4 linked regions of the Drosophila melanogaster genome follow. The protein of the gene in region 4 purifies or fractionates together with the protein of the main gene of each other region. This does not show direct contact. Each region holds a gene or a part of one and is shown on either strand. Other genes may lie near its edges.

Region 1 (6,307 bases), on a different chromosome or scaffold from region 4:
GTGTTGGTCAGGAGTCCAGTTTCGTAGAGATTGCTGTAGATCTGTGGACGAATATCTCCTTTAAATATAAATGTATCTTTTTTTTTGGAAGTGAACCGACTTACATTCTCGGTGATCTTGAGCGTTCGTATCGCCTCCGCCCGCATGTGCAGCCAGGTGTGGCGCAGTCGCTCCTCCGCGTCCGATATGAAGCCCGGCGACCAGTTCTCCCTCAGCCGGAAGAAGTTAATACGGTTCTTCTCGCGCACAGCCCGCGGCAGCAATACGGTGTGTCGTTTCCTAGCATCCCGCTTGGCCTTCCCGTTCAGCATCTGCTGCTGCTTGGCCTTCTTCTCCTCGAGCTGGATGCGCATCTTGCGCGCGAGATCCTCTCGCTTTTTACTGGCCGCCGTCTCCGCAAAGATGGACACCTGGTGCGACTGGGCATAGAAGCGAGTGTAGTAGTCCAGCTTGCTCAAGTCTGGTGGCGGCATTATCTTCCTGAAATTGCCCAAATGACTCTCCTCCCAGGCGATTTGCTGGGCCAGTGGACCATGGTCCTCAGCTTCGGGTTCAACATCAACGGGTTGGGCATCCGGACTGCCCTTCTGGGCATCGATTTTGGGCTTGGAGGTGCCGCCACCAAGACGCGGACGTTGTACGGGTCTGGAAATATATATGTGGGTTACCAATGATGATGATGCTGACATGATGATGAGACACTTACGGGTCTCCCCTGATCTTGAGCAGCCGCTGCTTGACCCGCTTGCGATCCTCCTTGAGAATCTGCCTCTTGTCCGCCAGCACCGTGCTGACCAAGTTCAAGGTGTCCCGGATCAGCGGCCGCTTTACCTCCCTGTCCACCTGCTCGTTGGTATGGAAGCTGGGCGAGTGGTTCACCTCGAGGATGTACGGCTTTAGCTTCCAGTCCACCAGGATGTCGAAGCCGAGGATCTCGAAACAGGCCTGGATCTTGTCGTGACCCGGAAAGCAGGCATGGTAGTTGTGCTTCAACACTGGCCACGCACTCAGCACCGTCTTGATGATCACGTCGTCCACATTGCTCCAGAACTCCTCCACATCGTAGTTGTGTCGCCGCATCCAGTTGTTGATTGCGCTCAGCTTCCTCTTACTGCCGCAGTCATCGTTGTCGCAGAGTTCGTAGTGCGAGTTCCGCTTGTTCACCGAGTAGTTGGTCAGGTGCATGTACAGATCGTTGGCGTTTCCGGGCGTGGGCTCCACGTACTTGTTCGTAGCAAATCTGGCCAATCCCTCGTTGTACACGAAGATGCGCAGGGGATCCACGGAGGTAATCAAGGTGTACACACGCAGATCGAACTTGTACCCATCGATGAGCAGGGGCTGGAAAAGTGGATGCGATGGTTAGCCAGCGTATGGGATTCCGGATGAACAGCGGATACATTACCCTGTGTATGTACGTCTGGCAGATGAGGCGCTCATGTGGACCTATGGTCTTCAGGTCGTTTGTCAGCCAGATGCCACGACCCTGGGCACCAGAATCCGGTTTCAGGATGAACGTGCGTTTGTGGTTGAGCGCGTAGTTCATGGCATCTCCATAGCTGAAATCGTTGGTATCAATGATTAGCACTTTCAGTGTGAGGCTGGGGTTTACTTACTCCGCCGGCAGCATCCAGGTCTTGGGAAAGATCTTGTAGTCCTGTGGAAAGATCTTTAGCATTCGATTTAGATTCCGCGAGAGCAGATCCTTGCGACAGATCTCGATCATGCCCGGAAAGTGATTGATCTGCTGGAAGCGCTTCATGTTCTTGAACAGCTCTACGCCGGGAAACGAATCCGACCAGAGGATGTTCCACATCTTGGACTCCTTAACCAACTTGTAGCCCAGCGTCTTGGAGATCTTCCCAATCATGGCGTAGCGCGAGTTGGACACGCAGATGGTACTCTTGGTTTCGCTGGGGGATTATGTTAGATGCGTTATCCAATAAGGATCCAAAGCTAAGGAAGATCACCTGGCTGGCCGCTCCTCGTCGACGTTCATGGGAGGATTGAGCACCCGAGTGGGGCATTCCACTCGGTAGGTCTTGTTGTTCAGTTGAATGAATCCCTGCAGCTTGGCTTCCTCAGCAGGCATTGGGCTGTTTTCACCAGAAGATGGTCCGTAATATGGGGAGTTATCATCCACTTGCTTGTCGGCGGCTGTCCTCCTCTTGAGGCACCGGGTCTTCTTCATCCGGCGGCGTGGGGACATGGGCTGCAGTGGCGGTGATTGCTCCGGACTGAACCATTCCCGGTCCAAGCACGGCTGCTCATTAAGAGCCATGTCCAGGGCGCGAACAACGTGGGTCCTCTTTTCGCGATCCTTCCGTATTTTCTCCTTGGAGAAGTGGCGCAGCTCCTGAATCCTCTTGAAAAACTTGGAATTTTTTAAATTCATTGTCTCGTCCGCTGGTCGTCCTTGATTAAAAATTGAAAATTTTTCACGTGCTAAAAGCTATATCTATAAAATTGATTCGTGTCAATGGTTAGAGCCGGAATTCTGCGTCACGAATAAAAACAATATTATTTTGCGATGATTGTGTTGTGAAAATGAAAATAATTATAACCGAAATGACGCTAAAATCAAAACGTAGCTCCACTGGCCACGTCGCTTGAGTCGTTTGAGTTTTAAATCATCGATTTGGGGCATATCATAAATTTAGTTTCTCCGAACATCAAACATACCACTAACAACTAAGTGTACAAAAATATTTAATAAACAATAGGGTAAGCATTTACAATTTAAGCATAACAATAAGTCTTTAGGGAAATTTTCGTTGGAATGTTAAAGTTAAAAATATATATTGCGATTGATCACAAAATGTGGAAATGGTTTACAAATGGTCCTTCGAGCTTTTCAAGTTCGTCAATAAAATGGTAACATAATAAGGCCCATCTAGTCGGTAACAAACGGTTCGAAACGCTTGAGCACCGCGTTCATGGATGGGCGATCCTGCGGATCCAGGGCAGTACAGTGCAAGCCCGCCTCGATGGCGCACATGCACATGTCCAGCTCCTTGCCCATCGGTGCTGCTAAGTGCTTCTCTAGCAGCTCCATCCGGTTTTGCCGCCACTGCTGCTTAACGTAGTCCAGCAAATTCTTCTTCGTCTCGTTTTCCGGCACGCGATCCGTCACCTGACGACCCGTGAACACCTCCAACAGCACAATGCCGAAGCTGTAGACGTCCACGCCCGTGCTGAGTTGTCTGAAGTTGCGGAACTCCGGTGGCAGGTAGATCTTAGTGCCGAAAACTTTATTCACTTCCACCACAGCGTCCAAGGACTTGGGACCCTCGCGCACCAGACCGAAGTCTCCGATTTTTGGCTGCAGACATTGGTCCAGCAGGATGTTGGCCGGCTTAATATCTCCATGAATCAGCGGTGTGCCTCGCGCCGTGTGCAGAAAGTAGATGCCTCTTTTGGAAACGAAATGAAAAGTTAAAGAAGATTGATAGCACTAAAGAAACGATAAATCCCACCTAGCCGTGCCGAGGCTGATGCTAAACCGCTGCTGCCAGGTGAGTGCTGGTAGTGGGTTTTGTGCCTTATGCGCTCGTAAACGAGCCTCCAGGGAGCCGCCCTTCATCAGCTGGTAGACGAGGCACGGCTTACCACCTTTGATGCTGTATCCGTAGAGGGCCAGGATATTGTCGTGCCGGATGCTGTTTAAATACTTGAGTTCGTTGTAGCTCTGCTGCAGCTCCACCATTTTCTGGTCGATGTTGGGACTGCGGTAGTTCATCACCTTGATGGCCACGTCCAGTTGCTTCCATTTGCCGCGGTACACGTCTCCGAATCCGCCCTGTCCCAGTCGATTATCCGGACTCCAGCCGTCCGTGGCGTTTTCTAGCTCCGCATAATCGATCTCCAGCAAGGATTCGGCTGCCCGCTGTACGGTGCTAATGTGTATATTGCCCAGGGACTCCAGGCTGGGTATCTCCTCCGTTGCCGTTGTGCTGGTGCGATTGTTGTTTGAGTTGCTGACGCCCGAGGAGGAGGGAAACGGCGGGCCGTTGTTTACTTTGGCACTGGAATCGGGAGCAGCGCGCAGCTCGCTGATGGTGGGCACGCTCCTCGGTATGTACTTGTGCAGATCCTCGCTAACGTAATCTTTGATCAGACGCATGGCGTTATGAAGCTTCAATCTAAAGTAAGAGGAGTCATTTCTGGGATCTCGGCGGTTATTATCTCAAACTGACTCACTTTTTGAACAAAGCAAACAATGTTTGCACCGTGTGATTGTACTGACCGCCCCAAATGTTGAGGAACTCATTGGAGGCTGAGCGGCCACGCTGCTTCTGGCTGCTTATCTGCTCCACCTGGTCGGGATAGAGTTTTACGGCCGTGGCCAGCTGTTGCCATACGTCTAGGGCATCCAAGTGGGCACATAGCTGGGCTCGCACGGGCAACGGCAGCAGTCGGATGGCCATTGTGTTGTCCAAGTGGGAACGCGACCTGGTCCTGTTGCCATTCGCTTGGTTTTGGGCCTGCGCCTCGGCTTCGGCGGTCTGGACGCCACTCATCTTTCACTTATGGGCGGGCGGTTCAACCGGTTGCGACTGATTCATGCGGCTCCGGATGCAAGAGTGCCCGTTGGATGAGGGGTTGGCGGCGCTGGTAACCTGTTGCAGCGAAACGAAAATCGCTTTTGGGTAAATTCCCAACGCGATTCGATGAAAACCTGTGGATGACTTGTTAACAGCGGCGCAACAAGTGATAAAGCAGCTTAACAGAGCGAAGCAGTCTGGCAACGCTGCCAATGTCTAGCAAATAATACACTCGAAAAAGTGGTAGATGCTTAGGAGCCACTGTTTAAAATTCAGAAGTAAAAAGAAAGCAGAGTAATTATTAAAAAGGTATTTGCTGTATGAAAATATTAAATAGATTTTAAATAACCTCCACATATTTTATGTAATTTGCACAGTATTTTGTATACTAAAATATCTTAAAAAATACCAAAGGCAATTAGTGTATGACCAAATGAGCCTTGCAGTTTGGCGGACATGCGTCGTTTTCAAGTGCCCCGCAGGTGGCCACACTGCTGACACCGTCACGAACGCATCGCTATCGCTAATTCTTCGCTTCGCCCATTTATAATTCAGCAAATACGTCAATTAGCCCCACCAGCGAACGGAAAAGCCTCAAGCTGGCGGAGAAAAAGGTCCAAATGGCGCTATGCCAGACATCGGTGGTGAGTGTGCGGCTGGATCCCCGAGATCCGGTAATTGTGTCAGCGGCGGTGGCTCCATTGCATTCGACATATGGAAGGCATCCTACCAAGGAGTTTCTCCATTTCCTCCAGCTTCACCTCCTTCCGCCGCCCACGCGGGAAAGTGAAAGCTTTCCCAGTGGTCATGGTAGTTACTACAAAACGATAGTTACAACTGCTGAAATCCGAGATACCAAAACTGCAAACCTCTCGGGTGTGGATGTGTGTGCATGCGAGTGCGTGTCTGTCTGGATGTCGCTGTGTTAGTGCGTTCGTTGCCTTGCAGTTTTGTATGTTTCTTGCCCTCTGGATTTTCCGATTTTCGGCTTTTCCGCGTAGTACTTCAAACTCCCATGGGGGGTTATATTTAGCAGTAATACACGCTGCGTAGCTTGTGCTATTATCTACAAGTCGGGGCCTCCTTCCTTATCGTCCGCTGATAACGCAAAACAAACTATTAATAAAACAAGCAACTGGCATACCGGTGTATATATATGTACAATGTACATATATATATATACCAGCATATGCATGGTATCTATGTACATATGTGCACTGCGACATTCTTCGCAAACAAATAATTTACATACTTTATTTGCGTTTTGCATATTCACATTACAGCTGCGTCTGAATTTTAATGGGAGCTCAAAAAGGCTCACCACATACTGTGCGCCACATTTTCAACTTCTATAGCGTCTTGCCCTTTACTTGCTTCGTGGATTTTTTGCGCAATCCCTATTGTTTTACCCCCAACTGTTTAGGCCCTAATAGCGTGAAGTTGAGCCGCGATAATATAATGAGTGTTTAAGTCAACACAAGCCCAGATTTGTCGTGCATTTCAAATTTAATTATACACAATTAACCGCATCCCCTCTCGCCCGCAGCTGAAGGTGTACCATGCCGTGATCGAGGACGTCATCACAAATGTGCGGGACGCGTTCCTGGACGAGGGCGTCGACGAACAGGTGCTGCAGGAGATGAAGCAGGTCTGGCGCAACAAGTTGCTTGCTAGCAAGGCCGTCGAGCTGAGCCCGGACTCCGGCGATGGCTCCCATCCGCCACCCATCGTGGCCAACAATCCAAAGGTAAGCGAAACGGAGC
Region 2 (9,272 bases), on a different chromosome or scaffold from region 4:
AGCCAAGCGGCAGGAGTACGTGGAGAAGACCAAGAACATGCTCATCATTGCGGACGCTCCACCTGAAAAGGAACGCAAGAAGGGTGGTGGGCGAGGTCGTAAAGATGACTACATCTCCGGTACCGAAAGCGATAACGATGGAGCTCGTCGTGAGGGAGAACGTCCCTCGAAGAAGAAGGGCAAGGGGGAACGCAAAAAGGGTGGCGGTCGCAAGCGCAAAACGGAGAAGTACGAGAGCGACAGCGAGGAAGAGCCAGGTGCCAGTGGCAAGTCGGGAAAGAAGAAGGGCAAGAAGCCGAAGCCGGTTAAAGAGTCCAAGGAGAAGCTTTCTGCCAAGCAGCGCCTCAAGGTGCTTTCCAAGGAGACGATCTCCACCAGCGAATCCGAGTCTGACGGCAAGCGCAGCAAGAGCAGAAGTAGAAGCAGGAGTCGAAATCGCAGTGGTAGCCGAAGTGGCAGTGCCTCTAGAAGCGGCAGTGATCGCGAGGCTAGCCGCAAGCGCAGCAGGAGCAGAAGTGGATCTGGATCTGGGAGTGACAGTGATGAAGCAACTAAGCGGAAGCGCGCCAGGAATCGCATCGAATCTGGCGGGGAATCGGATAGATCTGGGTCCCGTGCTCGCTCCAAGTCGAGTTCCCGTTCAAGATCTCGATCCAAGTCCGGATCTCGATCGAGGTCTCGCTCCAAGTCGGGATCCCGTTCGAGATCGCGCTCAAAGTCCGGTTCCCGCTCGAGATCCCGCTCGCCGTCGGGTTCAAGATCCCGCTCTCGCTCTGGCAGCCGATCCAAGTCCGAATCCCGTAGCAGATCAGGGTCCCCGGAAAAATAACGCACCTCTCAACCGTGTTAAATCACTTTTGACTATATTTAGAGTTGTCTTCGAGAGCTGCAAAAAGATACTAATAAAAACGAACTAATTGCCACACAAAGGCAGTGGAGTAATTGCTATTGGTTTGCTGTTCAACCGTAATCCGGATTCCCAAGTCTATTGGCATGGATGGATTAGGTAATGGACAGGGCTGATTGTCTGGGCCAGGTCAACAATCGACTTCAAACACGTCTGTGCTGCTGGATCATGTCTCTTACGATTACAGCCATAGGCTGCGAGTGGCGCAGGACGAAAGCGTGGTCGATCTTCTTGGTGTCCAGCTGGGCGTCCACCTTGGGGTAGTCTTTTTTGAGCTGGTCATAGTAGGAGATTGGTACCCATCCGTCGGTAGTGCCGTAGTAAAACTTGAGGAGGTCCAGGTTCTGCTCTACAATCTCCCTTTGAATCCCGCGAACCCTGGCCATCTCATCGTCGGCCAGGAAGACCACCTTCTCCGCTACCGATGGTTTGGAGTACTTTAGGGCGGTGCCCAGAAACTGTCGTGGAATGGAGAAAATCAAGAAGTAGATCTGTATCAGCATCAGGCGCAACCACACGGGCAGAAAGTTGAAGAAGCTGAAGAAAATGTAGCCAAACACGGAGTACAGGGGCATGGCCACCTTGGTGAACACCCATCCATTGGGCGACTCCATCATCCGCTCGACGGTGGGGAACAGCATATAGCACTTTTGGATGCGACTCCGTATCCGCTCGTTTTCCAGCAGCTGCAGGATCATCCACGCTCCGATGGAGTGCCCAATCAAGTGGATCTTGACATCACTTGGCACGTATTTCTCGATGAAGGCGATTTTATGCCGGATTTGTCCGTCCAAATTGAAGAGCTCCTCGTTGCCGCTGAGTTGAGGAACCTCCCGAATACTGGCCTCTGGCGGATCATCATGGCCAGCGTGCCCTGGAGGGAACATCAAGTGTGCTATTACCGACTCAATGTGGAAACGCCAGCACACTCACCTATCACCCAAACTGGAAGATCGCCCAACTCCTTTTGCAAAGTGCCTGCGAACTCTGTGTAGAAACCTGGCAAACCGGGATTGCCAGTTATGCAGATGACGATCTCCTTCTCGGTTATGGTCTCCTCAATCCACCTGCCCCATGTGAATATGTGGGTGGGAATGGAGTTGATGTTGACGTAGGCCTCCTGCATATTTTCCGCTGCTGTTGGCGTGGCAAACTGCGCTGAAAATCAATCGGCACCTGTGTTGATCCCACTCTTTTCACACGCGATGAGTTGTCTAATCCCCGTGGCAACCGGTTTTCCTTTGTCCAACCACCTCGGCTGCAGCCTTTCACGAGTTTCAAATCTTGAGGATTGGCGCGGTTTATCCCCAGGGTTGATAGCTCTGATAAACACTGCTATGTGTTTCGGCCAATTGTTTCCAGCAAGAATGGACAAAGGTCACAAGTTCAGCGGCTTAAAAACGGCTGATACAGAAACCAGGGCGGCAAGCTATGCCAAAATCAGATGTTCTATATTAGCGGATACTTACCATGATAACGATTGCTCAGACAGAGAAAAAGTGTAGATAATTTTGTTTAAAAAAGAAAAAAACCAAAATGCATTAACTTTAAAAAAAATACTATGGCGTAAATTATTATTTGTCAACCTATTGATATCTCTTTACAGTACTAGAAGCTTTTATAAATTTCATATTAACTTTTACCTATCATCATTAAATATTCGAAAGTACTCCCTAACATTAGTTACCTACGTATACATTTTTTATTAACCAAAACTTATATGTAAAATCGCAAATTGTTTCTTTTTTCGGAAAAAATTGAGAAAACATTTTGATATTCGTGTTCAGCATAAGTTCTAGAGAATTATCCGATCTTAAGGTTTTTCAAAGCGGATCTTAAAAGTCCGCAAGCGATGCAGCCCTAGCTTAAGCCCATTGTCAGGGCTGCCAACGTGGGCAATGTGGCCCTATCCCAACCAGTTGGCATCGCCACCATTATTTATTGGTTTTTTGTTGCTGGTTTTTGAGTTTTTATATTTTTTTTCTAGAAGGCCTAAAATTTATAGAGCGTTGTAGGTAACAGGATTCAGGATTAGACTTAGATTCTGAAGGCACACCCATCGAAAGCTTGACGAGGCATGAACCGAGCAATTGGAATCGGGAGCAAGTGGACACAAAAGAATGTAGCTAACAATTGGGGACATTCTCGAAAATTCTTGTAGCACCAACAAGTAAATTATTATACCCAGAACAACCGAAGGAGCTATTGGGCGGATCCAGAGCAATGGCATCTGGCAAAGAGCTCTATTGCTGGGGAAGCACGTCACATGGTCAATTGGGACTTGGCGGAATCGAGGACGAGCAGGTAGATAGATGACTTTCGGATATAAGCCCACTGATATTACTTTTGTATGCCATTGATTTCCTCACAGATCCTCACACCTAGTCAGATACCCTGGACACCGGACACTGCTGTACAGCAGGTCGCCTGTGGACACCGACACACTCTCTTTCTGACCGCCACTGGAAAAGTCTACGCTTGCGGGAGCAACGACTACTCCCAGCTGGGCCACGATCTGCCCACCAAAAGGCCACGTATGTCGCCATTTCGTATGTAATCTTCATTTATCGTCTTGTCTGTCCACTCTCCACTAACTCCACCTCATCTCCATACTCACCAACTACGCGAGCCACTGCTGTGAACCGAGTCTAAACCCCGCAATCATCTTCCGGCCGACTTTTTGCAGTGCTTATCCCCGAACTGCAGGATTACGTGATCATCCAGATCTGCTGCGGCAGCCGCCACTCATTGGCGCTCTCCGATTGGGGCCAGGTCTTAAGCTGGGGCGACAACGACTGCGGCCAGCTGGGCCATGCCACCGATAAGGAGATCGTGCAGCTGCCCAAGGTTGTGCGGCAACTGGTCACAAAGACGGTGGTGCAGATCGCCTGCGGCAACAATCACAGCTTGGCACTGACCAGTTGTAAGTATGGAGTGAAATTTAATGGATTCCATTCACTAGATACACAGATACACATCAGAACTACTTGAAACAAGATAAGATAATTGTATTTCCCAAGTTTAGGGCATTACTAAACAATTCTTATCTAAAGCTAAACAACGATACCTTCCGACTAACATCATCCTTGACGTTTCTAGGTGGCGAGCTGTATTCATGGGGTTCCAACATCTACGGTCAGCTGGGCGTGAACTCCCCCAATGATTTGACACATTGCAACTATCCCCTCCGACTAACCACTCTGCTGGGAATTCCGCTGGCCGCAATTGCCTGTGGAGGCAATCACTCGTTCCTCATCTCCAAGTCCGGTGCGGTGTTCGGATGGGGCAGAAACAACTGCGGGCAACTGGGACTGAATGACGAAACGAACCGCTCGTATCCCACCCAGCTGAAAACGCTGCGCACCCTGGGCGTGCGATTTGTGGCCTGCGGCGATGAGTTCTCCGTTTTTCTGACCAACGAGGGAGGGGTGTTCACCTGTGGAGCTGGCGCCTATGGGCAGTTGGGTCATGGCTTTAGCTCGAATGAGATGCTACCGCGAATGGTAATGGAGCTAATGGGCAGCACCATCACTCAGGTGGCCTGTGGCAATCGGCACACTCTGGCGCTTGTTCCATCGCGCGGCAGAGTTTATGCCTTTGGCTTGGGTAGCTCTGGGCAGCTGGGCACGAGGAGTACCAAGAGCCTGATGCTGCCGCAGGTGGTCATCGGTCCTTGGGTGTCGCCCAGCGGATCAGCCCTGTTGCAATCCAATGATTCACAGGTCTCGTTGGTCATCCGACAGATTTTCTCAGGTGGCGATCAGTCGATTGTGACCACAACTTTGTTTGTAGACAAGGTGCCGCCCGAGGATTTCAGAAACTACAAGTAACTATAGAAGCGTGTTACTTTAGTATAAACATATAAAACTATAAACATATATCTACTTTGCAGCCCCAAATCCCAGATCCTAACCCTAACAGCAGAAGTCACCAAGCAGTGTGCTCAATGCAAGCAGGGCCTTCAAAGCGACATGGATCTACTGAGCTCTATTGAACTAATATTTAGAAGCCAGGCGTGTTGGAATGGTTCCTTTCTGCTGGATCACGACCGACACTTTGGATGCTCGGTTCGCAACCATGGACTGGATCTGAAAGCAGCCCAACTAGCATTCGACAATCTGCGCGCTGTGGAAAATGAAAGCATTAGGCAGGTGGTAAGTTTTCGCCATTACAAGCATCATTGGTATCTGTTTTAATCATTTCATTGTTTTCAGATCTGGGACAATATAACCAAGGAGCTAGTTGGTTCGCTGGTTTGCTCACCGGCAGATGTGGAGAGCATGCGATTATATCTTCTGCTCCCACTTTACCACGAGTTCGTCAACTCCAAGCACTACAAGTCACTGCAGGTTCCGTTTGCCAATGCCATATTTAAGCTAGCAGAGAACCCACGGAAAGTGCTGAACAAGTGGTTGGCCCAAACACCGGCTGAATACTTCGAGCATCTTGTCCAGAACTTCTTGCATGTTGTCATCCATATTATAAGTTTCAAAATGGGCTTGGCTGCCGCTAGTCCCAGCGCCGAAAGACGTCAACAGGTATTTAGATTTCAATATAGGGCCATACCAGTGTCAATTAATTCTCTATTCATAATCTAGCTGCTGCCATATAACACTGAACTCGAGATCATTCTAAAGCTGATGAAAACGCTCTGCCAAATTAACAACGAGCGCCATGATCGCCTAAACTATCAAATCTTTTACTGGCCTGATCTTTCGGATTATGCAGACGTGCAGCAGGAGTACGTTAAATGGATCATGGCCGACACTGCCAGAGATTTCAATATTTGCAACTATTCATTCATTTTCGACCAGTCTGCTAAAACAGCGTTACTCCAAGCGGATCAGGCGCTCCAGATGCACTCCGCCATGGCCAATGCGGCTACCATGGTGGGTTAATGACGCCGAACAGAAATGATTTATGAGTTAATAACTACTTTTTTATCCAGCAGGCATTCTCCTTTTTCAACTACGGGATGCCCATCTCGCAGTTCATTGTGCTCAACGTGACGCGTGAGAATCTGGTGCAGGATTCCCTTCGAGAGTTGCAGCATTATTCGCAGAGTGATCTTAAGAAGCCGCTGAAAATCAAGTTCCATGGCGAGGAGGCGGAGGACGCGGGTGGCGTGCGCAAGGAGTTCTTCATGTTGCTGCTCAAGGATCTGCTCGATCCCAAGTACGGTATGTTTAAGGAGTACGAGCAGTCGCGTCTGCTCTGGTTTGCAGATCTCACCTTCGAGACGGAAAACATGTACTTCCTAATTGGCGTTCTCTGCGGTCTGGCCATCTATAACTTCACCATCATCAACTTGCCATTCCCACTGGCTCTGTTCAAAAAGCTGCTGGGCAAGCCAGTGGATCTCAGTGATCTCCGTCAGCTTTCCCCTCCGGAGGCCAACTCCATGCAATCGCTGCTCGACTACCAGGGCGACGATTTTAAGGAAGTCTTCGATCTGACCTTTGAGATATCGCGGGATGTATTCGGGGAGGCGGAGACGAAGTGCCTTAAGCCCAACGGCAATGAGATAGCCGTAACACTGGAAAACAGGTGAGTGTAGTGACCATTTCTGTTGCGGCACCTGTGCTAACTATTATCCAACTTCAGGCAGGAGTTTGTGGATCTCTATGTTGACTTCGTATTCAACAAGTCCGTCGAGCTGCACTACAATGCGTTTCACAAGGGCTTTATGAAGGTGTGCTCTGGCCGCGTGATTCACATATTCCAGCCGGAGGAGCTGATGGCCGTGGTGGTGGGAAATGAGGATTACGACTGGCAGGCGCTTCAAGACAACTGCGAGTACCGGGAGGGCTACACTTCGGTCGATGATACAGTGAGTTGTAAACTAAAGATGGTCTTCCTAGACATTAACCTTGTATCTGCCGCAGATCAAATGGTTCTGGGAGGTTATTCATGACATGTCCGAGGCGGAAAAGAAGAGTTTTCTCCTCTTTTTAACTGGCAGCGATCGCATTCCCATCCAGGGCATGAAAGCCCTTAAAGTGAGTTCTTAGATTATACCTATATTGCAAAGTGTGTCCTTTACCGTATCCGTACCGATTTAGCTCACCATTCAACCCACCCCGGACGAACGATTCCTGCCCGTGGCGCACACGTGCTTCAATCTGCTGGATCTGCCGCGCTACAAGACCAAGGAGCGCCTCAAGTACAAGCTGCTACAGGCCATCCAGCAGACGCAGGGCTTCAGCCTGGTCTGATCGATCTGATCTGGACCCATTTTTTTACATCGACCTCAAACTACAGGTATTTTCCGAAATCTTCGGATTTCGCGCATTTTGGATTGAAGAATGAAAATTGGCTACTTTCAAAGACAACCCCAACGTGGAACACTCATTTATCAGCGATCAAATCAGCAAGTACAATGTCGTGTTATAGCTTTAAACTCTAGACTAGTTATTAATATCGCATTGTTATGGAGAGAAAGGAATTCAAGGAGGTAAATAAGGTTGGTGCATCAGTCTGAGGACAACAACAAATGTCTAAATTTCCGTGTAACTTTTACCAATAAAGTTATATAATATGGCTTATATATTGTTATTTTCATTGATCGCAGTAACGGTTAAGCTTTAAACCCGATAACGATAGCTTCGCTTCTGTCCGGAAACGAGCCGCGTTGGCAGCACCGTTGGCGCACAGCTGAGCCCGAAATGTGGCGGCAAATCGAAGTCGTCGAAGTCAGTTCAACTTCAACTTTGGCAAGGTGCGCGGCCGCGTGCGGATTTCGTTCGTTAATTTCTTCATTCGCCGCCGAGAACTTTTTCGGACGCTCATTTGCATGCGCTGGGCGTGCGGTGCTTGACATTAACCAACCGACCGATTTCGAAAACTGCGCGCATATATGCCGTCCTAGCCCCGCTTCTTCAAATTATCCACCAACACCAATTCGCTTACAACAAACGTTGTCCAAACGTCACCTTTACCGGGTCAAGCTAACGGTACCCGCATCGGAAAAGAAATTCAAACAGGTAGAGCACTGCGACCACAAAAAAGTAACGACTTCGGGCGACAGTTTGTGAAATTATGGGTACTTAGGCCCCCAGTTTGCAATTACATGTGTGCCATCCTGGTCGCTTGTCCATCTCAAACTTCTTAATTCGCTTTATATGCCGCGAACGAGGCGAGCTGGCCTACAAAATCAATTACCATCGCAACTTTTGCATATCCTGACAGCTAACAAATGTCCGGGCCACAAAATCCAGCGATACCATGCCGCGCACATGAGTGTATAACTCAAAAAAAAAAGTTAGCAAAGAAAAAATACGAAAAAAGCGGTTCTGCCGGTTTGCCCGTGGTCGTGATCTGTGCAGCGTCTTCCGCTGCTTTCTTTCCTTTGCACGATTTGAACTTGGACACCAAACGCAACAAAAGCCACAGCGGCGGCACAAAAGAGCAACAAAAGCAGGAATGCACTGCGAGAAACGTTTCCTCAAGGATTAGTTTAACTCATAAATGCAAATGGTTTACGCAGTTTCTAACTTTCCTAACAACTTTCAATGATAATCAAGGGTGCTTTTTCATGATCGGTTCTTTGAAATAATAAATAATATGGGAAGATGATTCTCCCAGTGCAGCAGCCACCGCAATCGAAGAGATCTGGTTTATTGTGATGCTCCTCTAATAAAGCGAGCGTTTAGGCACCGGCACCTCAATTTCGCCGCTTCGCTCGCTCCTCCGTTCGCTTCCTGGGTCTTCACTCCACACATCGTCTGCGAGGATATTTGTAAACTGGCTGGGGGGGTTCACCTGTCCCTCGCTCCCCGGGGATGAGCTTGTTTGCCCAGGTTTTATAGCAGGAACAAACAGGCGGGGCACACAAAGAGGGTCAACAGGGCGTATGTGTTTGGCTATGGGGGAGACATGAGTAATCGGTGGATATAGCTGGCGGGGATGTATCCCCTTGCTCCGCTTGCCTACTCGCTGACCAATTGAAATTGTATCAAATTTCAATTTCGTTTCCACACTGCGACGGCCCTCCATTAATTTGACCCAGTTTTGAAAACAGCGGCAATAAGCCGCTTAAAAATAACCAACTGCAATGGATCGAAAACGAAACCGAATGATTCGCCAAATCTGGCAGCTGTTCAAATACAAGCTCGCAACAATATAATAATATTGTCAAATACCTACCTGTAGTCTTAAAATATCTGGGATCTGCTCACTTTTAAAGTACTTAATGGTATTGAAGCTAGACTAGAGGCGATTGTAGAACACCTTTTTTCGAGTGCACAAAGCATTGCCCCCAATGTCATTGCCTCACACTTGGCACCCAAAAGAAACGAATTGGAAAACCAAGCGTATCACGAAAACCCGAATTTTGGTAATGATGTAATGCCAACTTTCTGCGAAC
Region 3 (6,907 bases), on a different chromosome or scaffold from region 4:
ATATGTATCTATAAGATATCTACAAGATCTGTATCTATAAGATAACCGCTTTCTGGCAGTGTTTTTTCCCTTATGGGTTTGCTCCAAGCCTTTGTTTGTTCCTCTCGGCATGTGCATGAGTGTTTGTCCAAAACTTGGTAACTTCGCCGTCTTGCCATTTGCATTTCCCACGTTGTCAGGAGGAGTGAAGGGGGGAAAACTCGGGCGCAGTACTGAGGAAAAGCCAAAGTCAACGTCAAAGTTGAACGTGTCAGATACAATTCCATTGCTGGAGCTGAAACTGTTGTTTCTGCCGGGTTATGTCTTTGCGTTTTACTATTTCGGCTTTTGGGCCAAAGAAGAAGCTGCCAGCTGTTAATTGGAATTCGGACTGCCCTTGTTTTGGGTGCCGCTGTCATTCCCGCTTACGATGAAATTTATACAATCTTTCTATTTGGCAGCGCTCAGATCGGGCAGCTCGGGAAACAGAAAGATAAATATACAAAATTAACACGTACTCAGGTGAAAATGAGCAGGTAGTTACCCATGCGATAGCAAGTGTGTGTTCTTGTGTATGAAAGGACGTCTCACACACACACACACACACACAAGACCACCACTCGTTGAGCAAATAACCCCAATAAATAAGCCAAGTTAGACCGATTCGAGGGGCAAGAGGAGGGGGAGCCGAGTTCCAAGCCAAGATGTTCATGAAAAAAGTTAATTAAGGTGTTTGCCCCGCAACAACAACAAGGCCGGGCATTATATGCTAGATATTTATCTCCCGGCTGGGGAAAATGGATCTGGTTGCATGCCGCAGAGTGTTTGCTTTTGAAATGTTTGTCATTATCGTCGTTAACTTTTTGATGAGTCGAACGTGTGTGATAAAAGTGTCACACGGATTGAAAAGAGCGACGAGCGAAAGGAAAAGAAAAACTAATAACGCAGACGGGCCAGAATGAGTTTGTACGTGTGTGTGAAGAGATATATATATGGATGTTGGGGTATATGTATATAGAATGTATCTTTCGGATACCAATTGCCATTAGTTTATTGAGAATCCGAAATTTATGGCTCTGCGTGTCGTGGCCAACCACGCACAAATGGTCACAAATCTGGACCTGAAACACATGTGGGCCTGCCTTTGGTTCCTCCAGCATCTGTGGCACGTACAAATTTCATTTGTTGCACTATTTATGTGCTTCTCCACTGATGAAAATGAAATCAAATTAAATTTTCGGCACAATTCAAAGTGAAATTTTGCAGCTAACATAAAACAAGGCAAATGAGGAATAAATCTCCCGATGTGTGTCCTGTGCGCTGGGTTTTCCCATGTGGGTACATTGAATGGGAAATTACTGGAATTTCCTTTCGGTCAGAATTACATGCGCATATTTCGGTAATATCTTTGAAATTTACAGTAAATCCTAGGTATTTGAAATGAAAAACACGGGCAGTGTGGCAAATGTGTATATTAATGCATCTTTGCGGGGAGAAGTAGCCATTATGTTGCCTATTAAGCTTATCCAGATTTGCGTTGCTTTGTTTGATTTGACGTAAAGTTATTTGCTTGGAAAGAAAACATCTTAAATCCTTGAAAATTGTGGTGTAAGCCTAGTAGTAAACATTAAAATTGTTGTTGTAATATTTCAACAAATTTATTTAAATTTCAAAGACTTTAGATAATTACCAATTGGGAAATGGAATCAACACAAGATTGCTATGAAAATTGTACATGAATTCAAAGATTATTCATAAGCATGTCCTAATTTTCCATACGCCGTGCATAATTACAGAAAACACAGTTGCAGAGGGATACGATTTCCATTTGCATTTCCCATTCCCCGTCCCTGTCGCACTTCACACGCTGCTCCCCCGGGAGCTATGTCCCATCCTTGTTCCGCATTAGCAGAACGCACTTCCACTTCATTTGAGTCGCAAGCGGCAGAGCGAGAGGGTAGATGTTGTGGAAGTGTGGTTTTAATTGGCACACAACAACAACAGCAAGCAGTCTGCTACGTGCTGGCAATTACATTTTACATTTTACTCAGAGAGAGAGACTAATCAACTAATAAATCCATAATCACTGTTATTACGTATGCTGCCTGAGATGCTTAGACTTTGAAGTTAACCGGTTAAACTTGGCTAACAAGAACTGAGAACTACTGGCCAACAACAACTGCCGGCTTTTCCCCCAAAAATGAAAACAAAACAGTAGAAGGCTCTCTTGCTCTACCACTTTCTCTTATACTCTTATACGAAGTACCTGTATTTCAACTGTTTTCCTCTCTCGCATGACTTTTATCGCATGCGATTTGTTTATAGTGCAACGACCACAGACACGAAGATAATTCGTGTGTCTCTCTCTTTTTCTCCCACGCATCTGTACCTTCGAACGGTATTTGTGGGGTAGAAGAAATTGCTCGACTTATTATATCGTTTGCCACTCAGAAGTTAGGGAAAGAATTTTATTTTTTATAAAAATCCTAGTCAACTAACATAAATCAACTGAAAGCTCGATTCCTCATATTATCACATTGTGTTATTGCTACAAGAACTGTTGTTCTAAAAATTCTTATCAGTACGTCAAAAATATAAAAAAATTTCGAGACTAGCATTTTTATCCAACTCATATTTATTTATAATAAGCTGATTATATATAAAACCCAAACAGCTTTATAGAAATAACTTCACACGTTATTTAAGGTTAAAAAAGTAGCAAGATAGGATGTTATTAAAAGTAGAATATAAAAAATATAATAATAATTTAAAATGTCTTAACAAACTGGAGCTTAAGGAACCAAAAGCAAACAAAATGATATAAAACATATAAAGACTGTGACAAAATTATTAAAATTTAAAATAAAATATATTAATAGGCTGATTACAAATTTAAGTAAATAATGTTTTCTATATTGAGCAAAGGGTATCTTGCCGCCGACTCAGCCACTCTCTCGTCTTTCCCTCCACACTAAGCGCACTACCAGCTCTTCATCTCTCAGTTCTTCTTTCTTTTCGAGTCGAGTTCAGTTTGTTCCGAATCGCCGACGTGAACGCACGCTTGTCGCGCTTGTAGCAGTTGGATTTTTGATTTTCCCAGCCAGAGTCCCGCGTTCGTGTGTTGTGGGCCGCTTTTGTTTGTCTCGTTTTGTGGCCAGCGATTTGGCAACCGAATAAGCCAAGTTAAGAGCAACGCTACGCAGCACAAAATCCATAAAAACAAGAAACACAAGGCGCAATTAAATGCAAATGTGTGAAAGTGTAGCAAGCATTTAACCAAAAATAAAATCGCAAAAAATCGCGGCTTCAAAGTGCGAACAAGCGCGAACAGAGAAGCTAAACAACAGTGCCAGTGCGTGTTTGTTCGTGGCAGCTTAAGAAAAGCCAAATAAATATTAATATTTGCACAAGAGATCGCAGCGGAGTAGCTAACCTCACATTTAATAAAACACGTATTAAAACGGTAAGTATTTACGTCTCCTTGTTCAGTTATTACACTTTGAACCGTGCCATCTCGCTCTGTCTCGTTATCTCCCATTCGATTTTGCTTTGTGCTAAGCTTCGCTTGGCTCGCGCTAAGCTCAGCTATCTCTGTCCCACTCTCTGATCAGTCCAATTCGCCTATAATTGCACAGAAAAAAATTTACCAAATTGATGGCTCATCGGGCAATTGGTTGACATTTTGTTCCAGTTTTGATCACAGTCAGATAAAATCAATTTAAAGTACATAAAATGAGCTGTAAAATATTTGTAAACATCTTTAAATTGATCTATTAATACTACTACTACTACTACTACTACTACTAGTACTCTGCGTAAAACCGTATTTTTTCCTGTGCAAATTGGCGATGAATAACAGTTTCAGCAGTTGTAACCGTTGCACAATTTTCCCCAGTGCTTGTGTGTGTCACACTCTTGTTGTCCACAATTTCCGTGGTTTTTCTCGGCACTTTCCAGGGAAATGTGCAAAATGCTGCAGTGCAGCAGCAAGTGCTCTTCGGCCTTGGGGTGTGCTTTGCGTTTTGGCCAACCCATGAACGAAACAAAAAAGAAAACAAAGCCACACGCATTTGGCCCAAAGCTCACGAGCCAGCATATTAACACTTTGAATTTTTGGCCAAAAACCAGTTTGGAATCGAAAAAACAAACAGACACAACAAAAGTTTATTTACTACCAAAGAGAGCTTCGTTCAACAGGTTTTCATTGCGGGGACTTTTATTCGTATTGAAGGTGGAAATACCTGGGTAATGCAGGTTTCAAAAGTACTTCTAACAAACCAGAAAATGCCCACTTGTGCTTTAAAAGCTAATAAGTTGCTGATTAGAAACAGCAAAACAAAATAAGAGAAGAAGGAAGGGACAAGAATCTTCTCGCTTGTACCAATTATGGTAAAAATCGTATGACCTTATGATAAACTTAGACTTTTGTTTTTAATTCATTTCGATTCTTCTTGGGTTTTCCAACACCATAAATCTCTTCTTAGTTGATAGCCCTTGACCACTAGCTACATTTATATGAAAAATTCGGAAAACCCCAAGATTCAACCCCAAAAGTTCAACGATTATCGCTCAGAAGCAGCAGGTCTTGAATTCAAGAACAATGCTGTTTTAACAATAATTATACAATATATATAAATTTTGATTGTATTTTTTTCCGATAGTTAACATCCTGCCATTGAGCTTCTTTCGCCTGAGGGTTTTCCGAATAACTGTACTCTGGATTTAGGTTAAGATTTTTCTTCTTTGGCCCACATCAAAGGCAAAGAAGCTTTCAAAGCGGCTATAACAATGGCGGCAAACTGAAAAAAAAAAATGCTAGTCTTCGTCTGTGAAGGTAAAACTGCGGAAGTCATTTAACAGTCTACTTAACTTCTGCCAAAAAAAAAAGAAGTGAACGAAAAAAATGAAGTGGAAAACGGCAAACTGCAAACGTTCAAGATGCTCCGCTTGGGTCTTTCGTCTTGGCCACGTTAGAAAGTAGCTGTAATTGTGGCTCCGTTATTGTTATGGCCAAACCGCCACTAGTCCAACTGCAGGCGGTAAAAGTTGCCCAAAATGAATTGTCATACAAACACGTTTGTTATAAATATTTCTGCACAATGAGAGACTCATTTAAGATTCATTGTACTCGCTTTTTTAGTTGTTAGCTTTATTTTTCCCCCTCTCATTATTGAGGGCGTTTGTCCACTCGGTTGATAAGCGAAAAGGCAGAAAAACAATATTCAAAGCTGACTCCGCTTTGGTTTTTACATCTGCCAAGTGTTTTTTAGCTTTCTGCTATTTCACTCTTAGTTATTGGCGACTTGTGTTGATAATTAGCACGTCGGCTTTCAGCGTTTCTATGACTTGTGGTCCGCTCAGCGTGATGAGTCAGCCTCCTAAGCTGAAAAGAGCGTTACGATCGAACCACCATATGTCTTACTCTCCCGATCTCAGATCAGCGGGCGGTTTAACCCAAAGTCAAACCAGATCCGTGACGTAAATGGGAGACAAATACACGCAAAAAAAAAACAAGACTGAAGATCTGAAGATTGTATCTATAAGATCTGTTATTAAAGTGATATGTAATTACATACTACATTCTTATATGATGACTATAATGACTAATATAAACACGTTTTAATATAGTACAAGTTTATATTATATAGCGTAATATCATACTTACCGTATTGTTATCACCTGTTTTTTTTTAACAACTCATTTCTTTTCGTGTGATTTCAACGTGTGAGGTTTTTTACTCTCCAATCAGATTGAACTGAGATAGAACTGCCTGACCAGTCACAGGGCTTATTGCCTTGCATTCAATTAATTAATTTCAATTTTATTGCTTCAGCTGACCATAAAATCGTGAAGGGAGGAATAACCATAAGTTCCCCACTGCGACATTCTCTCGGTGGAGGGAAATGAAGTCGTTGCACTTGCTTTCACCCTAATGCCTTCATCAGCTGCACAAACGAAAAATCTCATTAATTTTCCACTTTCTGTCTATCTTTGGGTTATCTCTCCATTGTTTGTCCCCGTCCCAGTTCCCTTTATGTTCTTACTATTTTTTTTTTTTTTTGGCCCTACCTGCGTGCAGGAGTTTTCCCTCATGAAGTTTTCGGTCGCGACATGTTTTCTGATCCGTGTCCTGTGCTCTGGTCTAGTTCATTAGATGGACTTGGCTAATCGATTTCCATAATCAAACAGATGGCGCCAGAATATGAGAACGAGAATGAGACATAGCAAATGAAGCCGAGTAAATGTTGATATAATAAACCCCGTGTGGCAGGGCCAATTAGGCCTTACTCCTCACCTGTGACACAGCCACATATTTTCTCATTTGAATAAAGAAACACGACCACAGCAGGGGAAACATTAGACGCGCCTAAACGTAGAAATTAGCGGCCACAGAAAACGGGAGGGAAAAATTCCAAAAAAATAAACATACCGAAAAAGAGAAATTTAATTAAAGCCGCATAGAAAAAAATGCATAAATTTAGTCACCCAAAACACCCACCCACCTGGCATGTAATATTTGTAACCTCATTGCGGCGGCAGGGGAAAGGCGGTGTAATTTTCACGGTCCCCGATCTGCAGCTTTTCACCAACTTGGCGGGTCAGTCCGGCATAATGATTAGGGTCAGTGTGGGGTGGAAAGTCGGGAAAACTCCTGCCACCCAGCTGGAAAAGGAAAAGCAACAGCAGCGGCATAAGCATCAGCATCAGCAGCAGGTTGCCAACAATTTCTGCTTATAATTTTCCGTTTTTCATCCTCCTTTTCTTTTTGGCCCGCTTTGTTCTGGTCGAGATAAAAGCATTTGTCATTAGCATAAAATGTTCTGGCTCAGGTTTTGATCTGGAGTTTGGCCCGAAAAAAATTAAAAATGCTACGAATATTTGAACTTCATTAGTGGGCCAGCGAGCCCAAATGGGCACTTGGCTATAA
Region 4 (10,105 bases):
TTTTGTATCTCTTAGACGTTGAAGATGTTGAAGCGGAGTTGGAAGAAAAGCGCAAGCATAAGTATCAAGTATTCCACGATAGATTTTGAGTAAAACTACAATTCATAGGTTAACAATAATTGTAAAGGAGCAAGGAAACATTCAATAGAATTACTCGAACTTCGAAGTCAACTTGTGCCAATGAAAAAAGCCTACAAAATCCTAATGAGAACCTGCAATAAATGTGGCGTAGCGTAACTTAATAAACAATTAAATAACAAATGCGCGGAGAAGTTAGATATTTAGCGGATCGATGTGAAACTGTTACTTAAGTGCAAAACGAGCTTGTTGTCGAATTAATTTTTAAACGGATTAAACTAAGTGAATCTAAGCTAAATGTTAAATGTTTTTTTAGGTGTTCAATGTTACAATTATTTGTGGTCGAGCATCCGACGAGGAAGAATTGATTGCCCAGCCTTCACCAAATGAATAAGTTTATAAACCTGTGCTAACTCAGTTGCAAGTCAAACGACAAATTTAGCTTGAAGCAAACTTCTATCGGTTTCAGCCAACAGAGCGTTGCAGGCTTGAAAGCAAAGTTGAGAACGAACTTCCCTGACCGCCCATCTTTTAGCCCAGTTACCAATTAGCCGGATATGTATTTATCAACCTAAATGTTTCCCAATACTCGCCAGCCCGATTGCACAAAGGTAATTTAATAGGTTTTTGGTCTCTGGCGTTAAATTAATGTGAGATTCAAAGATACTTTGTAGCCACAAAACAAATTTACATGCATAAACATCACATGAAAACAAAGAGAAAAATAACAAAGTGCATGATTTTAGGAAATATCTTAAAAACAAACAAATTTTTGTTTTTCCATTCAAAACTGATACGGTTAACTCTTAACTAAAAACTGGCTAAATTATTTGCAATAAATATCTGATTTAAGAGCACATGTTTCAGGTAAATTACGTGATTTTATAGTTGGACAGTTTCAGCTTTTCCTTACAATTAGTTTTCTCTGTATACGAATTTATTTGTTTTTAAGCCATTTGGCGAGCAGGGAAGCGGAATTTCAATGGCGGGCAGGGCGAAAACAAATGGAAAGCTTTAAATTAGCTCAATAAATTGTAAACTTAAACATTTAATCTACTTAGAGCGGGTCGTTGTTAAATGCAATGCAAGTACATCTGGGACAAAGAATCACACACCTCATTCAGATTTGTAAGATACGCATTTTGGCCCAGAAAGCCATTCGAATTTGACCACAAATACACACAGGCTAAAACAGAGGCTAAAATAATCAAATTTGTCGCCAGGCAGTCACAAAGGATATTTAGTATATACAATCAAACAACAATATACTTAGTAATTGCATTTAACACATGGGGCAGAGCATATCCACTAGGTTTGCAAAATTGATTTAACTGCATGCTTAAACTAACGAAAGTAAAAAGGAGATTAACTGAATGAAGGAGGTAGGGGAGACCTAATTAAAAGAACACAACTAATGTCTATATTTATGGCTAGCTAAGTGTAAAAATGTAAGCTGAATTATTATACAAACAACTACAATCGAAGCAAGTAAATTGATGTAATTGAAATACTCGAAACGTTCTAGGGCGAAATACCAATGAATATTGAATAATGACACAGGTTAAACACAAACACGCAGCAAGCATAAATTAATGAATAACGAAATTATTTCTCGAGAAAAAAATCAAACTTTTTAGCCTTTGAACGAGAGACTTTTGGTGCCCAATCCAGTTTGAGCAATTATTTACAAGTGAAAAATGAACGAAATACAAAGAAAGACACACAAACCACACCACACACAGGCAGATGTATTGTAAATAGAGCCACAAACAAACCAAATGAGTAAATACCAAGTAGGTACATTAATAACTAATGATGGGGCTTATCCGAGTAAATCAACATTAAATAAATTAACAACGGAATTCAAACAAAAGCAGGTAACTTCAACTTCAACTTGTGTGCAAGGCATCAACTTTTACTGTTAATTGTTGCTGGCAATGCAAAACGCAACGCCGACCGAAAAACGAAAACTACAAAAATAAACCATGAAAAAGCAAAACAAATATATTTAAAATACATTTGAACGCCTTCAGCGTTTTATTCATCAAGCAAAGCAAGAAATGTTGAATCGAAAGAAAAAGTCAAACAAAGCCATAAAAGCGATAAATCAATTTGTGTCACCTGTGTAGTAAGTATATCTCAGTATTTGTAACTGAAAATGAAAAGCGTTGAGGTGCAGGCATCAACCACACAAAGAACAAACAAAATCAAATGAAAATAAACTGAATTTACAAGTGCTCTCTGACTATTATTTACGAGAGTGTGGTCCTTGGTTGGCATGTTCATTTCCCCACATTATCGTCTCAAATCAGTTGATTTCGGGGAAGCAATATTTCTCGGTAAAATGAGTAAGTATGTCTTGGACAGGTCGAAATGTAAAATATTCCTTTTTGAGGCACCATTAAAGGTACCATTCTCTGCATAACTGAAAGGAGTTAGATTGCCTACATCAGCCGGTCGAATAGGAGAGTGCGTTTTTACTCACTTTACTACTCTTCTTGCTTTTGCACTAGCAAGAAATCATTATCAATTATGCTTATGAATAATTAGGAATCCTACGGCAAGAACCAACGTTCCTAAATTATATTTAACCAACCGGAAATTAAGTCAACCACTCTTAGAGCGCCATCTGGTGAATGCTTTTGGAACCTATTAAAGTGTGGCCCGCGCACCAAAAATACCGCAACCGATAACTGGCCCCGATAAAGTACCAAACCTCGCCGATGACTGGCCACCCGAAAAGCTGTGACTCGCCAAGCTTTTGCCCATCGATCGCCACGAGCTTATCGGAATCGCGATCTGATCTGAAAAGTGGGAACGCAGCGCAGATAAATTAATTAGCAATTAGCCAGTGCAAACAGAGTGTTGTCAGCCGACTAGAAAAAGCAGCTGAGCTGATAGTTCCGCCTGTGGCCCCCGCGCTTTCGCCCTGCATCGGAACGAAACCAAAATAAACAAGCGAGTGAAAGGCGGTGGAGAAAGAGCGCGGGAGAGTGAGCGCGAAGAGTAGTCCGTTGGGGAGGAGGCGGAGGAGGAGCGGACAACGAGGCAGAAACAAAAGCACAAACGGCGGACAGAACCAGTCGAAACAAAACAACAAACCGGAGCGGACGCACTCGAAAAAAGCGAAACGAATTTATTTCTGTGCTTAGGGCGACACTGTGTGCGTGCGCCACTGATTGTGAGTGTGTGTGTTGTGTATATTTAAACAATATTCAAAAAATCATACGCCAGACGAATAAAAAACGCGACGAAAACGAAGGCGAAGATCTCCATCTCCTCTCGCAGCGGAGCAGACAGATAAATAAAAACAGAATCCGAGACAGCAACAACAACGCGACTGTGACGCGGCAAGGTGCTGGAGGTCACTCGGTCCATTTCGCACCGCACTGAAGTATAGAAGTTTAGCAGTAAAGCACCACCCCCTTCTAACCAGTTTCAGCTTCATCCGCCCGCAAAAAACAAAAAAAAAACAAGCACGCGCGATCGGAAAACTCGAAAAAATCTACAGAGCAGCACAACTCACGCGCTTCATCGTTTTATTGCTCGCCGCCCTCTCGACTGATAAACGTCAGTTGATAAATATATATCGCATCACATCGCATCCACACTAAAACAAATACGCCAGCAAACAAACACCAATTATTCCAATAAAGCCAGCGCCAAGTGCGAATGCGCCCTCGATTTGTATGCCATCAGCAGCACTCGGTGGCCCATTCCCACTACCAGCCCCACTCCCACTTCCATCACCATACCCACCGCCATCCCAATCCGCCCCATCACCATCACATTTACGGCGCCACTGACGTCAGTTATCGGCGTTATCGCACCGCTGGCATGGTGGTGGCCGAGGGAGTTATGGACTCCGGGTCGGGATCGGGCACGGGAACGGGCTTGGGGCACTTCAACGAGACCCCATTATCCGCACTGGGCATCGAGACCCGCACCCAGCTGTCCCGCATGCTGAACCGCAAGAAGGTGCTGCGATCCGAGGAGGGCTACCAGCGGGACTGGCGCGGCATCTCGGAGCTGGCCAAGCAGAAGGGATTCGTCGACGAGAACGCCAACAATCCCATGGATCTGGTGCTGATCAGCTGGAGCCAGCGGAGTCCCCAGACCGCCAAGGTGGGCCATCTGGAACACTTCCTGGGCATTATCGATCGGTGGGACGTCTGCGACGATATCCAGGAGAATCTGGGTAGGCATTAACTATTTTTTACTTATGGTAGTCGCTATCTATCTATAACTAAACTATGTCACTTGAGTTTTGAGTATCATTTGTTTTAGATTAGCTTTTAAATGATGGTCTGACGATTCGACTTTTACTTCAAAATGCCATCGTGACAGTGAAAATTTAGTTAAACGTCTAGACTAACTATGTATGTTTGACTGTTCTCGAGTTTGCGAAGTTGAAGAGGAATTTTAAATAATGTACTTATCAAATGATATGTACACAAATGTTGGAAATCGGAAAATGAACCATTAAATTTTACTTTAATGGCGAGCCACACTTATCAATTATTTTTGGCTGATCCATTTTTGGTTTTATGACCGGAAAAGCCGTTTCGAGTTTATAAAAATGGACGTGGTAATCTATATAATATAGGGAGTATATGCAGAAAGCGTACATATTTAACTTATCTATCGCACATTTATCTAAGTCAAACAAAGCTTATCGTCGGATACATAAAACTATTGAGTTATGATGAGTAGATACGTAATGACAGAAATAAAAGTCACCCACTTTCCCATGATTAATTTGTGTTTATTTCTATTTATTGTCAAATAAAACGCTTCGACTTACAAGATTTTTATTACCACATCCCGACAAATTGAAAAACACACAGCCATAAAGAAAAAATTCAAAACAATAATTTCTAAAAGCCGCAAACAACAGAACTTAAACTATAGAAAATGCCAATCAGTTAAGAACGAAATTTTCTTATTTATTTGCACAATGGGGATTCACCCAGCAAAAACTGTTGTCATTAATAAAAAACCTCGAACAGTCAATTTTGTTTAGGAGCAGATGTTGTATAGATATATTCGTTGTGACCAAAATGGTTCGATTTAAAAACAAATGAACGCACTCGGAAGTTGAATGCTTAAGGTATAAAAAAGCACACATAATTAAAATCGTATTAGGAATTTTTCAAAGGAAATGTTTGAATTCCTTTTCTAATGATCTTTCATTGGGTGTTTTAGAAATATTCCAATAAAACTAAAAATAACTAAAAAAGTAAATTTTTTATAAATGTGTCGTTGATGATAACTGCTTGAATCTAGAATTCACTACCTCTTACTAGAATGATCTTTTCTGCTGACAATATATTTGGAATAAAAAGATGGGGAGACAATGGCAGACATCTGAATGGATATATGCATACACTTATCTATTCATACATAATATTGAGTTACAAATCATAAATACTACCAATTTGTTATGAAAGCTTCATATATTAGCGACTGTGTGCAGAAACTCAGATAAACTTCACTATGCCATTCCTTTAAGCTCATTATATATCAACAAAGGGTTATATTTATTATTTAATAAACATAATTTAAGTAATTTGATTTTGACATTAACATGTATAAATTGTGTTGTTTACTTTACGAATGATGTGTTAAGAAAACTTTTTGTGCGGCCTTGTAGTTTTTAGCAATCATAATCCCTTTAGTAAAACTGTTTTAATTTTGCTCTCCTCAAAAGCCAAGGACACCCAGCGCTTCATCATGAAACAGGAGCAGCGACAGACTGCTCTCGTGGAGGCGTGTCCGCCGCCCCCCAGCGACTGCTTCGAGACCAACAACAACTACAGCAGCAGCAACAACATCACAGTGGGCCAAAGTGTGCAGATCCTCAGCGACGAGGACCAGAGATGTGTACAGATGGGCCAACCGCTGCCCAGATACAACGCATGTGTTCTGTACGCGGAGGCAGACATCGATCATGCCACCGAGATCATGAATAATCTAGAGTCTGAGCGATACAATCTCAGGGTGAGTGGGATGCGCTCGGTTGCTGTGTGTTGTATTAAATAACCATGGGATCGTTCTATTGCAGCTATTCCTGCGCCACCGCGACATGCTAATGGGCGTTCCGTTCGAGCATGTCCAGCTATCCCATTTCATGGCCACCCGCTGCAATCACCTGATCGTCGTGCTCACAGAGGAGTTTCTTCGGAGTCCGGAGAACACGTACCTCGTGAACTTCACCCAAAAGATCCAGATTGGTGAGTAGCTGATACGCATTTGTATCGCAGAGCCAGAGTCGCATTACAAGTTCAACGATCTGACTTTCCCCAGAGAATCACACTCGCAAGATCATACCGATTCTGTACAAAACGGACATGCACATACCCCAGACCCTGGGCATTTACACGCACATCAAGTACGCCGGGGACTCCAAGTTGTTCAACTTCTGGGACAAGTTGGCTCGTTCCCTACACGATCTGGATGCCTTTTCGATCTACTCCACGCGCCAGGTGCAGACGTAAGTGTTGCTACTTCCTGCGATATATGTATATGTATGTGTTCCAAAAATACTTGATACATTTTTAGGGGTATAAAATCTCAAGATAATGTAGATTGCTAGCCAACAGATAAATGAGGTTTGCAAACTGAATACGAATACATGAAGTAGTCTAGTCATCCCAATTTAAGAAGCTGTTTTAGAATACATTTTATTAGCTTAAGTTTTTGATTTTACTGTTCAATTATTGCTACTGCTGGTTGTAGGGGCTGCGAAATCGTTTCACAACATTCACATAAAATGTGCAAATGTATACCAACTGCTTGTAAACAAAATATATAAGCAAATATCACATGGCGTACGAGCGATCAACCTTAGAACAGCCTAGCAGGTATTTTTATTTAGTTTTGCTAAATTCAAAGAAGATACGTTTGTTTCAGAAAGATGAACTCATACGACTTTTAAAGTGCCCAGGAAGTAATACACTGCATATGAGTAATCAAATTTGAAACAAATTTATAAACAGGAAATAAATGTATTATATATCTGGGCGTAAGATTATATTGAAGCGAAATTAGTTTTGCTGTTAATTGTAAAACATGTTGGAATTTTATCACTCATATCATAAATTTGGCATTCTCTAAAATTTCTTTATGCAGTCCCTCGCCGGTGGAGGAATCGGCTCCCCGGGTGACCACTCCCAGCATTCGGATTCAGATCAACGACAAGGATGTCACTGATATGCCAAACTACAACAGCTGCAAAGTGCCGGAGGCGGAGACCACAATCGTTTCGGTTTCCGGTGACACCGGCTCACCCCTGCCGGAGCACAAGCCGAAGAAAAAGGATCGCTTCCTGCGCAGAATCACGCACAGCTTTGGAAAGACGGCGCGGAGCGATGGGGCCAGCGGCAAGACTCTGCGTCATGCCCACTCCGTCAGCACCATAAATGTCACGGAACGCGAGAGGACACTCAGTGCCAGCAGCTCCAACATCTCCACCACGTCGGAGAGCAAGAAGAGCTTCATCAAGTGGCAGCCGAACATCCTGAAGAAGGCCCTATTCTCGCGATCCAGCAGCAAGCTGCAGACGCCGGGCTGAGATCATAGTGTTAGGATAGCCATTCATTCGATTTCTCGATTCTTTGATTCCTTGTCGTGTGCCCAGTCTAGTTGTGGCCGCCCAGTCACCAATGTCGTCACCCTCCATGCCTAGTGATAATCTTTAGCCTAATCCTTATCAAGTCAACTAACTTAATATACTTAGACGCACTTGTTAACTTATATAAGACAACAACGAATAAAGACAATACCACATATCCGCACAAATGTATCACAAAAGCACACAGACTACCAAATACGACACGATATTGCTATATGCTCTATGTATATGACTCTGGACTTGATAAACAGACAAATTGGCAATTGCGTTGAGTGAGGTTAAATACGCGACACTGCTAATCGAAGTGCTCAATTAACTGTTAGTCACGCGTTCGATAAGTGACTTACTTAATTTAATTATCTCGCGCGCCGTTCTCGCAACTCAGACCCCATCTGAGAATGAGTAATGAGCATATATAACGCATACGTACATATGGCTGCATTGTGCGAGCAGTGCTTTATCATTTTGTAAACTGCTCAAGCCGTTTTAGACGATTGCTAGCAATAAGTAAACTGTTTGTTCTCGGTACCGCCATCGGCTGGTTGCCTCATGTGATTAGCTCTAGCCTAGCTGTTACCGATTGTTACTGATTGCTGTGAATGCGTGCCCATATGCCTGATGTGCACCTAAGCACACTCACTTGTTATAAAGCAAAGACTATCAATACGTCATCCATCATCACATCGTCTCTTTCAATGTATCTAGAGTCTATATAGTATTATATGTATCTCCGGACAGTGCGTTTCAAAACCATATAGAGTCGATCGACAACCATATATTATGTCCAACTTTTGTCAAGCGACAACGAATGTGGATAAAACGCAATATACATATGTTCCTCAATGTCGGGCATCGAACGCTCGAACTTCGACCTTCGCGACACGTGGCACTTGGCGGTCATGGTTATGAAACGCACTGTATCCATATCGGAAATAAGCTAGCTCCAGTTGAGCGGCAATAAACTGTTCAATGTTTGGCTCAATAATTTATTGTTGAATGTAGACAACCTTTAGTTCGTTCATGTTTAATAAACATTGCAGTTGATGTGTGAATCCCCGTATATGTATTTACATACAGTTGTTCGCGTACATATTGAGTGGAAATGTTTATCGACCAGTTCCGGTTAATCTACAAGACAGTTCGAATCGGTTTAAATTTTTTGTATTTTTTTTGTTTTATTTATTTTCGTTTTTTTATTGTTTAAATCGTTTAATGTTTTAATAATAGCTCCTCGCTCACATTCCTCACTTTATCGCAACCTGCGTTAATTTCGCTCTCTGTGTGTTACAATTTACACTGTGAACAAATATGTTTTTTTTTTAGCCTTACTGCTCCTTGCGACTTGAGCTTGTTCTTTAAACTTTGTTTTTTTTTTTTTGTCTTGTTTTGTTTTGTTTCGTTTCGTTACTTTTAATTGAATTTATGTTTTTGGGTTTTGTTTGGTTGCTTCTCTGCTCAATGTGTTTTGGTTTTTATGTGAGTGTGTGTATTTATAAATCGATTTATATATGTTATTAATTTTATCTGTCGTTTGTTATCCGCTTAGCTTGGTTTTCCTTTGTTAGAGTTATTTTAATGATTTCATTATCGTTTAACAAAATTAATAAAAACAGTTTGTAATTTGTTTGTTCTTTGTTGTATGTATATGTTAATTGATCAATTTATCGTAATTCGCATATTAAAACAATGTAACGCATGATGTTGCATCTTCTGCCTCGACTCGCGCTCTATGAGTATTATTTGCAAATTGTTTCGTAGCTTAATTAATGCCTTCTGGGGATGTCTTACATTCGTGTTGACTTGTTATTCATCTTATAAATCTAACTGATTGCATTTACACAGAGTGTGTGACGACGAGTCTGAGTGGAGGGGCAGGGAAGGAAAGGGAAGGGTCAGAAAGGGGCGGGGCAGGTTGGGTCAGGATCGTGATGTGGAACTGGAACTGGAACAGAACCTATAGGTTATTACTAACTCAACCGCAACCAAGGTTCGTGTATGTAAGTGTGTGTTTGTTCGTTTAAAGCGTTATCCTCTATAGTTAAGTGTTAACAATGATTATGATTATGGAAGTCAGCTGAAGAAGTCTGTATCGGTTTTGAAGTTGAGTTACCATCATATTGCGAGTTCCCGTCTTATAACTATGTTATGCATAGGTATTTCCGTTCTACCTTCCTCTCCTCAACCTCTATAACTCGACTCCCCTCCCTCGTACTCCGTCCTTTAATCATACATACATACACATGGAGATATATTCATCATCGAGTTTTGGGTCGCTTGTCGTTCTCGACTTACTAATAAATTAAAACAACGCTAATGAATTTTTTTTTCGTCTCGCTAATTGTGAGTTCTCGTTTAACGTTCTTCTTCATCGCCTGCTCCGCTCTCCACTAACTT

The links.
Region 1: the proteins of Myd88 (region 4) and pll purify together in Drosophila melanogaster (affinity purification with western blotting; 4 studies listed by BioGRID). This does not show direct contact.
Region 2: the proteins of Myd88 (region 4) and Herc4 purify together in Drosophila melanogaster (affinity purification with western blotting; one study listed by BioGRID). This does not show direct contact.
Region 3: the proteins of Myd88 (region 4) and Tl purify together in Drosophila melanogaster (affinity purification with western blotting; 3 studies listed by BioGRID). This does not show direct contact.

What each region holds. Positions count from the first base shown.
Region 1 is NT_033777.3:27,248,438-27,254,744, forward strand, and holds pll (pelle), read right to left. Parts: upstream 4,746-6,307; 5' UTR 4,521-4,745; coding exon 4,201-4,520; intron 4,143-4,200; coding exon 3,477-4,142; intron 3,414-3,476; coding exon 2,894-3,413; 3' UTR 2,694-2,893; downstream 1-2,693. Other genes in the region: TTLL6B (tubulin tyrosine ligase-like 6B), read right to left, coding at 1-41, 105-645, 707-1,341, 1,406-1,559, 1,617-1,913, 1,971-2,395; TfIIA-L (transcription factor IIA L), read left to right, coding at 5,165-5,188, 6,091-6,291. UniProt on the Drosophila melanogaster protein: Plays an essential role in the Tl receptor signaling pathway that establishes embryonic dorsoventral polarity; the signal directs import of dl into ventral and ventrolateral nuclei, thereby establishing dorsoventral polarity.
Region 2 is NT_037436.4:1,310,880-1,320,151, forward strand, and holds Herc4 (HECT and RLD domain containing E3 ubiquitin ligase 4), read left to right. Parts: upstream 1-2,816; 5' UTR 2,817-3,029; exon of another isoform or gene 3,030-3,095; 5' UTR 3,096-3,130; coding exon 3,131-3,211; intron 3,212-3,278; coding exon 3,279-3,456; intron 3,457-3,593; coding exon 3,594-3,830; intron 3,831-4,006; coding exon 4,007-4,733; intron 4,734-4,799; coding exon 4,800-5,061; intron 5,062-5,121; coding exon 5,122-5,445; intron 5,446-5,505; coding exon 5,506-5,796; intron 5,797-5,855; coding exon of another isoform or gene 5,856-5,858; coding exon 5,859-6,454; intron 6,455-6,511; coding exon 6,512-6,737; intron 6,738-6,792; coding exon 6,793-6,906; intron 6,907-6,969; coding exon 6,970-7,122; 3' UTR 7,123-7,451; downstream 7,452-9,272. Other genes in the region: Ctr9, read left to right, coding at 1-829; sturkopf, read right to left, coding at 1,051-1,781, 1,841-2,033.
Region 3 is NT_033777.3:26,796,039-26,802,945, forward strand, and holds the start of Tl (toll), read left to right. Parts: upstream 1-3,002; 5' UTR 3,003-3,442; intron 3,443-6,907. UniProt on the Drosophila melanogaster protein: Receptor for the cleaved activated form of spz, spaetzle C-106. Binding to spaetzle C-106 activates the Toll signaling pathway and induces expression of the antifungal peptide drosomycin.
Region 4 is NT_033778.4:9,301,440-9,311,544, reverse strand, and holds Myd88 (Myd88), read left to right. Parts: upstream 1-2,822; 5' UTR 2,823-3,750; coding exon 3,751-4,276; intron 4,277-5,788; coding exon 5,789-6,078; intron 6,079-6,142; coding exon 6,143-6,311; intron 6,312-6,384; coding exon 6,385-6,571; intron 6,572-7,209; coding exon 7,210-7,651; 3' UTR 7,652-8,722; downstream 8,723-10,105.